Regions from separate parts of the Mus musculus genome. Here all the other regions are reported to be linked to region 3. The links are microRNA targets in miRTarBase. Many come from high-throughput screens and were not tested one by one. Region 3 holds a microRNA gene; each other region holds the end of a gene's coding sequence.

Region 1 (4,205 bases), not on the chromosome of region 3:
GTGAAATCCATCTAGTCAATGAATAAATATTTATTGCAGGCTAAGCATTATTCTAGGCACTGGGGATACAGCAATAAAATCAAAGCAAATGGAGTTCTTTCCCTTTGGAGATCCGGTGTAGATTTAGGAAAAAAAACAGGCAATAAACCAATAAATAAGAAAAATACCTATTAGTAGAGTTATAGAGAAAATAAAACAAGGCATGGAGACAGGTTGTACAGGTAATTAACTACAGTTGAAGGTGGCATTTGGGCAAATATGTCAAGGAAGTAAGAGCAAACCAAGTAGATATCTATGAAATAACATTGTAGACAGGGAAAATAGTATGAATAGAATGTGTTAAGTCCCTGGTACAGAAACAATCTTGATATTTGCATAAACATAGCAGTGCAAGAGAGATTTAAGCTTCACCTGTCTTTGTAGAGAGCATAAACTCATTCACAAGTCCTGAGAGAACCCACACTACTGTGCTTAACTTGGGTTAATGGTGGCTATATGGACATGAACATTGCAATTTCTGGTCCATCTTACCATGTAGTTGAATTTAACATATTCAGGTAAGTATACAAGTTACATATAGTTCCCATATGGTAGTACAGAAAGCTGGGATGAGAGATCAGACATCCATTTGACCATCAGTATGCATATTAAAATAGCCATTGCAGATTAGTGGCTCACTCCGTTGACTAAATGATTGAAGACCTAAATGATTTGAAGGCTCAATCAAGTTATATCTGTCCCCAGCAGTCACATTACAGAGAATACATTGGGTAAACCCAGACTGAAATCTCCAAGAGATAAAACATTGGCCTACTGATAAACTGCTACTGACTCGTAGCAAACCAACCACAGCTTGTATTTCTTCCATAGAAAAACAACGTTTTGAAAATCTGCAGAGAAAGAGACAGACAGAGAGATACACAGAGACAGAGAGACACACAGAGAAAGACAGAGAGAGGGAGAGAGGAAGAGACAGAGAAGTGAGGGAGGGGAGACATATGCACAGGAGAGAAAGAGAGAGACAGAGACAAAGAGACACAGAGAGAGGAAACCAAAGGTGTTAAAAATGTTTGTCATACACTTTTTCAAAATCTCTCCCAACTCACTGCAAAGGGGGTGCATACCTGCCCTAAGAAAAACATTAAAGCACGAGTTTAAACACAGGCATGTGCTAGTGTGGTAATTTTATCATTGGATGTAGCTATAAGGTACACCGGGTCTCTTTAAAATTGGCATGCTCGGTACCAAATAGGTGAGCTCATAATTAGAAATTACAGGCACACCTTTAGTTCTTAGACTCTTACAATAATAGCAGCAAGTGACATAGTTTTCTTCATACACACTACATCTGAAACTGCAAAAGCTTTACTCTGACCCAGTGTTTTTAACCCGCCTGTTGGTTCATACCGAGAGCGAAAGGCTTTGGACACCTATGTTTCGGTTGTGTTCAGAGGAGGTATGAAAACTTTCAGGTGTGATTCATCTCCAGTAAACCTCCTTTTCCAGTTAGAAAACAAAGTTATTGATTGCCAAAGACCAAATCTTTCCGTTTAAAAAAAAATGGTTTGTTATTTGCTATGACCCTTTCTATAAATTCTCCAGCTCTGTCATTTTCAAATATAATTTTATAACTTAGATTCAAGAACTCTATGTGTCAAGAGGCTGACTGCAATCACAAGGGCCAGCATTCTTTTATCACACAAGTAGGGCTAATCTTGGCCTTCTCTGGTTTAATTAAAAGCACAGAATAGAAGCCATTAAAAAAAAAAAAAACCAAAGCACAATATCTTCTGTCTAGAATTAAAAGATTCCTATCTTTTCTTACCCCTCATATTAAAAAAAAAGTTTAAAGATCTCTTTATACACAAAAACAGTGGGGGGAGGGGAAATGCCTCATGTTTGATTACAGGATATTCCAATTAGCTGGAAAGTTATTGAAGCTGAGAGATTATCACGAGTTTGGGTCATGATTGTGCACTCCTGAAATCCCAACTCTTGGGAGGCAGAGGCCAGAGGATCTTAGCAAGTTTCAGTGTGGCCATCTTACAGTTGAGGAGTCATAGACTTGGATGAACAGTGACTTGCCTGAGGCCATTTAACTCATAATGAAATGTTTTTTAAACCAGGTCTTCCTGACTTTAAAACCTCTGAATAATTCAAAGCACTATACAAATGGTGAAGACAGCTGGACAGCCGTTCTTCAAGGTCCCCAGATACATTCCAGTTGATCCGAACTGGAAGCAAAAAAGAAAGTCCACCTTCATTCCAGTATCAGGTCTTGTAGGTACTTGAGAACTTTGATGTCGTCCCTAAAGACACATTCCAAAATAATTGTTCATGTCAATGTATCCCCATGGTATGAAGCAGCTGAGCCCACAAAGTTCTGGAGTCCTGAGTCCTAGGACATATAAAATCCCTCTAAACTGTAGAGTCTAAAGGAACTTATACTGGGGCTCCCAATGGTGCCTTCTGGAAAACATCTATGTCTTTCATACATGGCAAGAATGACCTCATTCCCTTCCTCAGAGGAAGCTTCCTGGAATGCATCCTTACCACCCTGACAAATACTAACACTACCCTTTTTGTTCACAGTATCATGACTAGCAATATATAGACACAATTTCAGATATCCATCCACAAAGGACAACAAGTGGCCCAACTGTAAGAAGTTGAAACTTAAAATGATTTGACTATAACAGGCTACTAAACAGATAACTCTTCATAGCATTTTGTGTGTATGTATATGTGTGTGTGTGTGCACATAGGTATGTATGTATACATACATATGTGTACGCGTTTGTTTTTTTTTTTTTTTACATAAAGTGACCTTACTTCCTCTCACATTCTTCTTGGTGTGGGAGGGCTATCTAGTTCTGAAATCATGTTGTGACTATTAATAATACTGAGTTCCCATGACCGGGAATGAGGAAAGAAGCACTGGGGGGTGCTTTGAGGCCATTCCATGAGTCAATGTGATTAAAAATGGTCAGAAATCATTAAAAAAATATGTCCACAACTTTCTAAACTAACAGGAAAACACTATTTAGGAGCTAAGTGGCTCATTTCATGAGTGAAAAAAGTGTTTTCATTATTTTTCAAATAGTTAAGTACTATACTCTAACCTATCCCCACCCCAAACACCAACTTAGCCAAAGAGAAGGTTTTTCTATCCTTTCTTCTCTGTCCAAAACATCTTTGGCTATCACACCACATGACTGAAATGTGCTGGCAAGTGAAAACGGGGCAGGGCTCATCCAGGAGCCTGCAAATTGACTTCCCAAGGCTGAATGAATGATCTTTTTGATTGCTCTACTCTAACTTCCCCAATCAAGTCAATAAATGTATTAAGCTTGAGTTTGGGTCAAGCCACACAGACTTTATCCTGCCATAGAAGCTTCTGTCATTCATTCCAGAGTCTCAAGATGATCATGATGTTAGATCTAGACACTCTAAAATAGTTGGCATTGGTGGCCCAGTAGAGGTCCAAAGTGGCCGGCTGAAGATGAGGCTGTCCTTTCCTATCCAGAGCAGTGATGATGAGCAGGTAGACGGGTACCAGCCGGCGGGCTTCTGGATAGGGGTCCCTGTCAGGGGCGGTACGCTGCAAAGTCTCTGGCAGGGGCGTAGGGCTGGTAAGGCTTTCGAGTGAGCCCAGGCCTCCGGGGAGTCATGTTCATGTAGTCACTTTGAAGGAGTCTGTTCCTTCTACTATTTGTCTAGGGGGGGAAATGAAAAAAGAAAAAGGTCAATATGGAAGGACTTAGAGGAGGTATTATTGGAGGGGTTCTAAGACTTTAGGGATAATTACTCAGATCATCAGCTGTTAAATGACCCTGAGGAGCCTTTTTGTGTGCCTTGGACTAGGATAATGACTAATCAAAGCCTGACTATCAACAGCTCTACTAAAAATCTAAAGGAAATTGTTTTATAAAAATGCAACCATTATTCTCAATGTTGTCATCTAATCCGAAGCCCAAGAATGTATTTTAGAACATATTCACTATTGATATGTAAATGCAATAGAAAGCCTTTAGTCTTTGGATAGATTAAACACTCCCACTTTAATCATTCATTAAGTAAGCTATTTTTCTGTAATTAAACAACAACAAGACAAACAAATAAACAACAACAACAAAAAAAAACCACCAAATTCTACCAGGAGCAGAGAAAGAGGAATGATACTAAGCCTGGAACTAGAGGTAAAC
Region 2 (4,214 bases), not on the chromosome of region 3:
GACTGAGTCTATCAGAACATAATTCTGTGAGCTAAGGGACTCAGGATTTTCATGAGTGTATTACCAGCTACTGGAACATCTTGCACACAAAACTCAGAAAATGAATGAATGAGTGGATGGATGTAATTAACTAACCTAAGAAAAATTATGGAACCTCATCACCCATGACAACAGAATAGCAAAAGGAAACCCATTTTAAATTCAGTCTTTATAATGTTGACATTATTTGTAATACCATTATTCTTTGGCAAATATATAGATGTTTTACGACTTAAATTTTATATAGATTCGTTTATTTAATTTAAATGTGTTAATATACTAGTTATTATATTAAATTGTTAGGATACCTTTGGCAAAGTTTTTATATACATAATCAGGTTTCAATGTACTGTTAAAGAATACTATATTGCAAATATCGTCAGTTTATTTCATTGAAAACATCTGATTTTGTTTTTGTTTTTGTTCAGTTTTAATCGCTTGGATCTACCACCATATAAGAGTTATGAACAACTAAAGGAAAAACTTCTTTTTGCAATAGAAGAGACAGAGGGATTTGGACAAGAATGACTGACTTGTCTTGGAGAAGCTCTTGCATTTAAATACCCAGCCAAGAAAAATTGCACAGATAGTGTGTATAAGCTGCTCATTCTGTACAGTGAATTTTCTGAACCTTTCAAAGTATAAATGTTTTCCGTTCTTCCACAGAAATATGCAAAACATTTCATCATTTTCTACTTTATTTATTGTTCCCTTTAAATGACTGACCAGGAAAAAAAAATCATCCTTAAATTTTGACGCAAGCAAGAGAATTTATTAAAAAGTATATATCTATATAACCATATATGACAGTGGCTCTAGTTTTATAGAGCGCCAGGTGTATTAAACATGACAGCCGTTCATTCACAAAACTCTGAATTTGCTTTGCCTTGTTTCTGTTTTCCAGGGGAAAAGTGCATATGTGCCATGTTCTTCTCCCTAGGTGACATTGGATTGTGTTAGCTGCATGGCTGTTCAGGAAGGAATTTAGGGCTTAAGCCAACTCTTACTTTAAGTGTATTTTTTTAAATTGCTGCTGGCTTTTCTGAAGACAAGTACTTCAACTCATTAAGTTGTACTAAATGAATAGGTTTTTTTTAATCACATCATTGTTATATCAGTAGACACAGAAGTCGTGTGATAGATCCAGTCGTGTCTAGGAGCAGCTGGGATTGACTTGCTGCAGAGCAGAGGTCTATTTACATCTTACTTTCGGATGTTGGGTATTTGTGGAAATTTAAAGAATCAGGCATCTCTATACTTACATTTTTAAACTTGTAATGTTCTTCAAATTCAATTGCTAATGATTTGATAGTTTAATGCTTAGGGATACATAAAAGGTACTGAACTTGGCTGCTTCTGTGCTCAAGGTTTACTTGTATGAAGTCAGAGATGTTCTAATGGATTGAAAAGCTGCAGAAGTATTTAAACGCTCACACTAAGTACTTTTTATTAGTGTTTGAATGTCCCCACCCCTTCCTTACAAAATCAGAATTGTTTCTAAATTCAGTAGGTATATTAAAAGAATTCTTTGTGCTCCCTATTTTATACAGAGCAAGTTTTCTCCAAATGACACTGATTTTTCTTTTCATTATAAGGGCATTCTTGGTGTATGAAAAAAATTAAAATCTAATGTGAATGATACTGCTACTTTTAGCAAACTGGGCTTCCTAATTAATATAAAACATTAATTTCCATTTTTATCCTTTCAATATGCACTGCGAAGTTCATTAACTTAAAATTTTGTAACTATGAAGTTCACTTAGAATTATAACTTCTATCCACTAGTTTAGTTTTGCTAAGATTTTATTTTTCTACTTTAGATTATGTTCTTCAGTTTTATTCAGAATTCACAAATAAAAGCAGTAGTCTACTTAGTTGAATAAACTATAGAAAATCTGGCTATTCTCAAGCTTAAAAGAATTTTTTTAATTCTAACATATGGCAAGTTATATAGTAAATGATGGCCAGTCTTCAAAAGTCCTGCATAAATTATTCTGTAAGATAATAAACTTGCTATGACAGAAAGTATCGGCTTTCATTCAGTGGAGGTATGTGACAGCATCCCTTTGCAGATATGGTTTACGGTTGCTTTCAGGTAGGATGTCAGGGAGCATCCCTTTTGTTAGGTTACCTCACGTGAGGAACAGAACCCACAAGATCAAGCCAGCCTTCTGGGGAAGACTAGTCTGCAGACCTCATCAGGTTCTTAACCTTTCATACCAGTTATAGACTTCAGGCCTATAGACTTGTTTATCTACTCAGTAGTCAAAGTCTTAAAGAGAGGTGAATCACCCCTGCTGTCTCCTTCCCATCCCTCTTCTGAACTGGACCCTCCACATCTGGCTCACTGAATCCAGTAAGACAAAGTTGGAGGTGAGGAGGACCGAGAGACAGGTTAATAATGATGCTTTATTATAGTGACAGTTCCCAACATCACCAGTAAATTGAGCTTAGGGAATGGATCATCGGCTTAAAACAGTTTTACCTGTCAGCTCAGTCACCTACCTGTCTTTGGGAAAGAAGCTACTATTTGTTTTAGAAAATGAAAATGTTATTACCCTTTTCTCCAGCTGACTTCAATTATCCTCCTAGGTCTAGGTGTTCTAAATTAGGTGTTTTATAACCACTCCATCAACAGACCACCTTTGTTGTGTTTGGGGCTCAAAAAGAACCCTAACTAGTAAGCTGCTTCTGAACTGAGAAAGCTCCTGACATATAGGAGGGAGCTGTAACTGCGTTTCCCAGAATCTGAACAGGCTTACTATTGCATGTCCTAAACTGTCACATTAGGAGACTACCGTTTTTGTAGAACCATGTGATGGCCCTGCTATATTACTACTACATGTTCATTTTCTCAAAGGAGGCCTAACATTGCACTGATGGCCATCATGGTTCCTGCACTAGAGTATTCAGAGTAAACTGATGCCAGACAAATGTAGTTTACTGCAGGCTTACTGGATCCTGACATTTAATTAAATATAACATAATCTAGTAAACACTGAAGTAACAAATCAGTTGTTGAAACATGAAATAAATGTTCTTCTGTAACATGTCCAACTTTTCTTAATGTGTTGAACAGAGAAATCAAGTCAACTGGGAATTTGACACCAATCTAAATGTGCTATTTCCTAAATGCTAAAAGTTCGACTCCAAAATTCAACAGAATGCAATTAAAATGGTGGTATTTCTTTTTATTACTAATTCTACATCTTTTTCATGAACACTTAATTCTGTTGGTCCTTGTGATTAACGTAGTATCTTGTTTTCATTATGTTTCTTAAGAAACAAGACAAGTCTTACCAATCCACTTTGTGTTGTAGCATCCATTGCCTGTTGGTAGGCCACACTGTCAAGAAGTGACAGAGAAGTTCAGTGGTGAACGTGAGGGGAAAGAGGGAAACCAAATAACCAAAAAGACCCCCAGCTTTCTCCTAGTGTGCTCAGAAACCTGGGCCCTTCATCCACTACACTACCAGTAAACAAACCCTAATTCAGGTTTCACACATCCTCAAAGACAGCAGACACACTTAAGGAAAGGAAATCACCCATTGCCTGTGTCTATAGTATGTTGGCCTCCTTTTTCCTCTCAAATAATCAGCCTTCTACTTTGATGTCTTTTTAAAAAAAATATGGACCCACATGCAGTATCCATCTGATCCTATAATGGCTTAACAAGATCATCTTCAATTCTATCCTTTGACTGCAAATGAGGTAATTTCACTTTTTATGACTGAATAAAACTGGTTTGTAAATATATACATTTTGTTTGTCCACTTGGTCGATGTCTATACTGATTCCATAGCTTGTTTGTAAACAATGCCACAATAAATATCAATGTAAATGCCTTTATTTTTAATAGCCACAAATTTAAAAATATTAAATACCTTCAACAGATGGATAAAGTGGTATATTCATGTAATAAAATATTAACACTAAAAGGAAAAAACTATTGCTTGAACTTAGTTATTAGAGGTCTGGCTAAGTGAAAAGGCACAATCTCAAAAGATCATATTCTATAAGATTACATTTGCCTAAAAGGCTTAAAATGGCAAATATATACTAGATTAGTTGTAGCGTGTGTCTGGAATTTGAGAGAACTGAAGGTGGCTAGATATGACTATAAAGAGCACTAGGTCTCTGAAACGAAACAAATTCCTATCTTGCCTGTGGTGGTA
Region 3 (4,248 bases):
AGGCTTTATTTATTTACTTGCTATGAAAAAAAAATGGCTTTTGGGAACAAGGACATAGGAATTGCCCCAACCTAGGTGTCTGCCTGTATGTGGGGCACCTAGATCTCGAGAGATAAGAATGTTGCTCCTAGACGCAAGACAAGCCAAGGTCGAGGGCCCTCATGTGGCACCCCTATGGAATAGCAGCTAAAGCATAGAGAACACCCCCCACCCAGACAGTAGGCTCCACCCAGGCCAGAGCCAATGGAACTGGGTAGGGGTTGGAGTTGCATAAGAGAGAAGGTAACATTCATTTCTCTAAAGCAGTCTAAACATCAGTACACATGCTATGTCATGTAACTTTCAGTCAGCATGCATATGCATGTCATATTACATGTATGTATAGAAGAGTATGCATAGTATGTCTGTGTATACATGGAGATCACTGCATGTATGTGTGCTATTTTGTCTATGAATCTCATTGGATATATATCTGTGCATGGTTTTGTGTCATTGTATGTCTATTTGCTACAATGTCTATGTGCATGCAATTACGTATGAGTTTATCATTGCATTTTGCTATAAATCACAGATATCATGCCATTATACAGCACTAACACATTATGACATACATTGTCATATAATAATGTACAATGGCATACAATGATCTATGTACATGATAAACTTGCCTGGCATGATGTGCACGCAGTCTCTGTATATATATTCTCACCCCTCCATGCCTAAGGGGACTGTCTATAAGATCATCTCAGGATACCCCACTAAGTTCTCAAATGCTTAAGTCCTTTTATGTAAGGTGATGAAATATCCGCCCATGGCTTATACACATCCTTCTGTATACCCAAGGTCTCTTGCATGCTAGGCAAGCACTCTACCACTAAACCATATCCTCAGCCCAGCCCCACCCCACCCCCATGCCTTAAATCATCTCTAGATTGTTTATACCTATTTTATAATACGATGTGAATGTTAAAATAATTGTACTGTACTATTGAGGAAATCACAAGAATAACAAGCAAAGTCTATACATTATAAAGAGACAGCTTCCTCTCTGGTAAGAGTCTTAGCTCAAGCTGGTCCTTCCTCTTCCAGTTGCTGGGGTTGTAATTACATCTACAATTGGCTTGCAATCAAAAACACATTTTGTTTTTCAATCCTAGTCAATAGGATGGCTCTGTGGGTAGGACATTTGCCACCAAGCCTGACCACTGGAGTTTGATCCCCAGTAACCACGTGGCCAAAGTGGAGAACTCCTCCACGCAAGGTGTTCTCTGGCCCTAAATGCACACCACAGTACATTGGTACACTCACCAGCATTCACACACACACACAAATTAAATGTTTTTCAATTCATCAATGTGGCAATCCAGAGAGATCTTGATGATCTCGCGGTTAGTGTCTTATGTACATGAAGCCACCACATGTGAATGTCACTAATGGGTATATTCTTTGGCATTATATGTGTAAGTACTAATGAACATGTGTTTGGCCTAGGTGACTGTATACCCATATGATACACCAGCCACGTCTCATTGTCTATATGTCACAGTTCATGCATGTGGCTGGCATCGGTGTATAGGCCCTGATGAAATGCACATGATGGTGAAAGTGTGTTTTATTAACACCAATGACCTGTGTAGACATGTACAAGGCAGGTGGGCACACACTGTGCTAGCGTGGTTTTGCCCAACTCTTACACTAATAAGAATCCTCTTGGAGCCAGGCAGTGATGGCACACACCTTTAATCCCAGCACTTGGGAGGCAGAGGCAGGCAGATTTCTGAGTTTGAGCCAGTCTGGTCCGGAGTGAGTTCCAGGACAGCCAGGGCTACACAGAGGAACCCTGTCTCAAAAAATTAAAGGAGAGAGAGAGAGAGAGAGAGAGAGAGAGAGAGAGAGAGAGAGAGAGAGAGAGAGAGAGAGAGAGAGAGAGAAGAAAGAAAGGAGGAAGGAAAGGAAAGAAAGATCCTCTTGGGCTGGTGAGATGGCTCAGTGGTCAAGAACACTAACTGCTCTTCCAAAGGTCCTGAGTTCAAATCCCAGCAACCACATGGTGGCTCACAACCATCTGTAATGAGATCTGATGGCCTCTTCTTGTGAGTCTGAACACAGTTACAGTGTACTTAGATATAATAAAATCTCTTTTAAAAAAAAGTTCCTCTAGACCAATGGTTCTCAAGCTATGGGCTGCAATCCCTTGGGAGGCAGACAACCCTTTTACAGGGCCACTCAAGACCATCAGAAAACACAGATATTTACATTACAATTCATTACAGTTGCACAATTATACATATGAAGTAGCAACGGAAATAATTTTATGGTTGGGGGGTCACGACAACCATGAGGAATTGTGTTAAAGGGTCGCAGAGTCAGGAAGGTTGAGAACCACGGCTCTATAGACTTTCTTAGATCAAAACGAGAGGCAAACAGTCTTCATTTTGGAGGTATAGAGAGTAAAAGGAAGCTAGCATAGAAATTAGAGCCAAAGGTAGAGGTCATCTCATACCCTTTCTTCACGTTGCTACAAAGTCTACTTCCGGTGGCCCAAGCCTTCCCACCCCCAGGCTGTGTCTTAGTCAGGCCAAGGTCTTCTGCTCATGTCAGCGAAGCCTGTCTTTCTGCGTCAGTTCTGTTCCCGGGCATCCGGGGAACTCACACAACCCCAATAACAGAGTCAGACAAAAGCGAAACCAGTCCATTCTTTATTAGTGTTGAGGGCCCCGTGACCCTTACCCATCCATCCGGCTCCCTTCTCGAACCCCCAGTCGGCCTGCGATGCAGGACCAAGGCCCCACACATCCGGCCCCACCCCATATCCTCACGGACGTGCATTCGAGAGAGCGGCTGTGGTGTCTCCCCAAGTATCAGGGGTCAGGAAGCACCGTGCTTTGGGGGAGCCATGAAGGTCTTTCGGGGAGCCTGGCCAAATGAGGGCGTGTGAGAGATGCTCACCTGTTTCCTTGATGTTGGAGTGGAGGACGGTGGCAGGGGGCCGCGGCGTGGCGTGGTCTCCGAAGCCCACAGTGCACTCATCCATAAAGTAGGAAACACTACACCCTCCAGTGCTGTTAGTAGTGCTTTCTACTTTATGGGTGACTGCACTGTCTGTCTGTCCACGGGGATTCTTCAGGCCACCTGCTTTTCTTGCCGACTCCTGCTTTAATAAAGGCCCCTGCCCCCTCCCCTCCGTGTAACTTCCCAGGGACCGCTCCACCCTGCCTGTGGCCCCCTAGAGGGCCCGCCCTGGGCCTTGTGGGTGGTGACTCAACATGGCGCCAGATGAGCCTCTTCTTCCCCCGCCCAACTTCCTCTTTGTAACCTTCTTCCCTCCACTCCCCACCCCCTCCGGGTTTCCACCCTATTCTCTCCCTTCTCGGGGACACTCAGGTAAAGACCACAGCCACTCCAGAAGGCTCATCCCCATCTTTAGAACTGCAACATCCTGGGTGGTGCTTCCCAGCCGTATGACCCACAGTCTTGAATCCAACGGAGGCAGCCATGGCCTCCTCCCATAAAGGCCTCGGTCCCCAGCCTTCCCATTAGACAAAGGCCTCCACTCCCACACGCCTCTGTCTCTAGTCTCCCCATTGGAACAAGGCCCCTGACTCCCTCATTCCTGCTCCTCAAGCTGGAATCCAAGTGTGTTGGCAGAAATGGCGGCCATGTTGCGTGGAAAAAATGCCTGGGCACCACTTGCCGATACCAGTCTCACTGTTTCAGCCCACTCTCCCACTCTCGCAACTCCTCCCTACTCTCTGGCCCTCCTCCCTAAGAGCTAGAGACTGTTATTTTCGAGAGGGGGGCTCAGAAGCCAATTTTTCCTTTTTTTTTTTTTTTTTTTTTTTTTTGGTTTTTCGAGACAGGGTTTCTCTGTATAGCCCAAGCTGTCCTAGAACTCACTTTGTAGACCAAGCTGGCCTCGAACTCAGAAATCCATCTGTCTCTGCCTCCCGAGTGCAGGGATTAAAGGTGTTCGCCACCACCGCCCGGCTAATTTTTCCTTTTTTAATTCTGTAGATTTAAAAGATGGGGTTGGGGATTTAGCTCAATGGTAAGCGCAAAGCCCTGGGTTCGGTTCCCAGCTTCCCCCAAAAAACAAACAAACAAACAAAAAACAAAAAACCCAAGAAGATTTAAAAGATTGTAAAAGCTGTCCCCAGTGAAGGCTAGTGGATCCAAGAGTCATTGCTCCTAAGCCTAAAACTTTGTTAGGGAGCTCTGGCACCCAGCCCCTCCTGCTGTCCGGAACCT

What was found. Region 3 holds the annotated microRNA mmu-miR-142a-5p (CAUAAAGUAGAAAGCACUACU, at 3,068-3,088, opposite strand). A microRNA usually pairs through its seed, bases 2 to 8, with sites in the 3' UTR of a target mRNA and lowers its output. Matches are read on the target gene's strand: a 7mer-m8 pairs with bases 2 to 8, a 7mer-A1 pairs with bases 2 to 7 and ends in A, and an 8mer does both.
Region 1: the mRNA of Cd28 is a reported target of mmu-miR-142a-5p. Seed matches in the 3' UTR shown: 7mer-m8 at 2,818-2,824.
Region 2: miRTarBase lists Wwp1 as a target of mmu-miR-142a-5p. Seed matches in the 3' UTR shown: 7mer-m8 at 734-740.

The regions. Positions count from the first base shown.
Region 1 is chr1:60,769,168-60,773,372 of GRCm38, reverse strand. Cd28 (CD28 antigen) reads right to left here. Exons shown (of 4, transcript NM_007642.4): 4 at 14-3,716. The coding sequence ends at 3,588. Among named protein-coding and RNA genes, the nearest start is that of 2310016D23Rik, 7.2 kb to the left of the region's middle.
Region 2 is chr4:19,608,067-19,612,280 of GRCm38, reverse strand. It overlaps Wwp1 (WW domain containing E3 ubiquitin protein ligase 1), which reads left to right. Exons shown (of 25, transcript NM_177327.5): 25 at 468-3,985. The coding sequence ends at 567. Among named protein-coding and RNA genes, the nearest start is that of Gm42259, 8.1 kb to the left of the region's middle.
Region 3 is chr11:87,755,707-87,759,954 of GRCm38, reverse strand. It overlaps Mir142 (microRNA 142), which reads right to left and starts at 3,091; the gene lies at 3,028-3,091. Mir142b (microRNA 142b) reads left to right here and starts at 3,000; the gene lies at 3,000-3,114. It also overlaps a transcript of Tspoap1 not described here.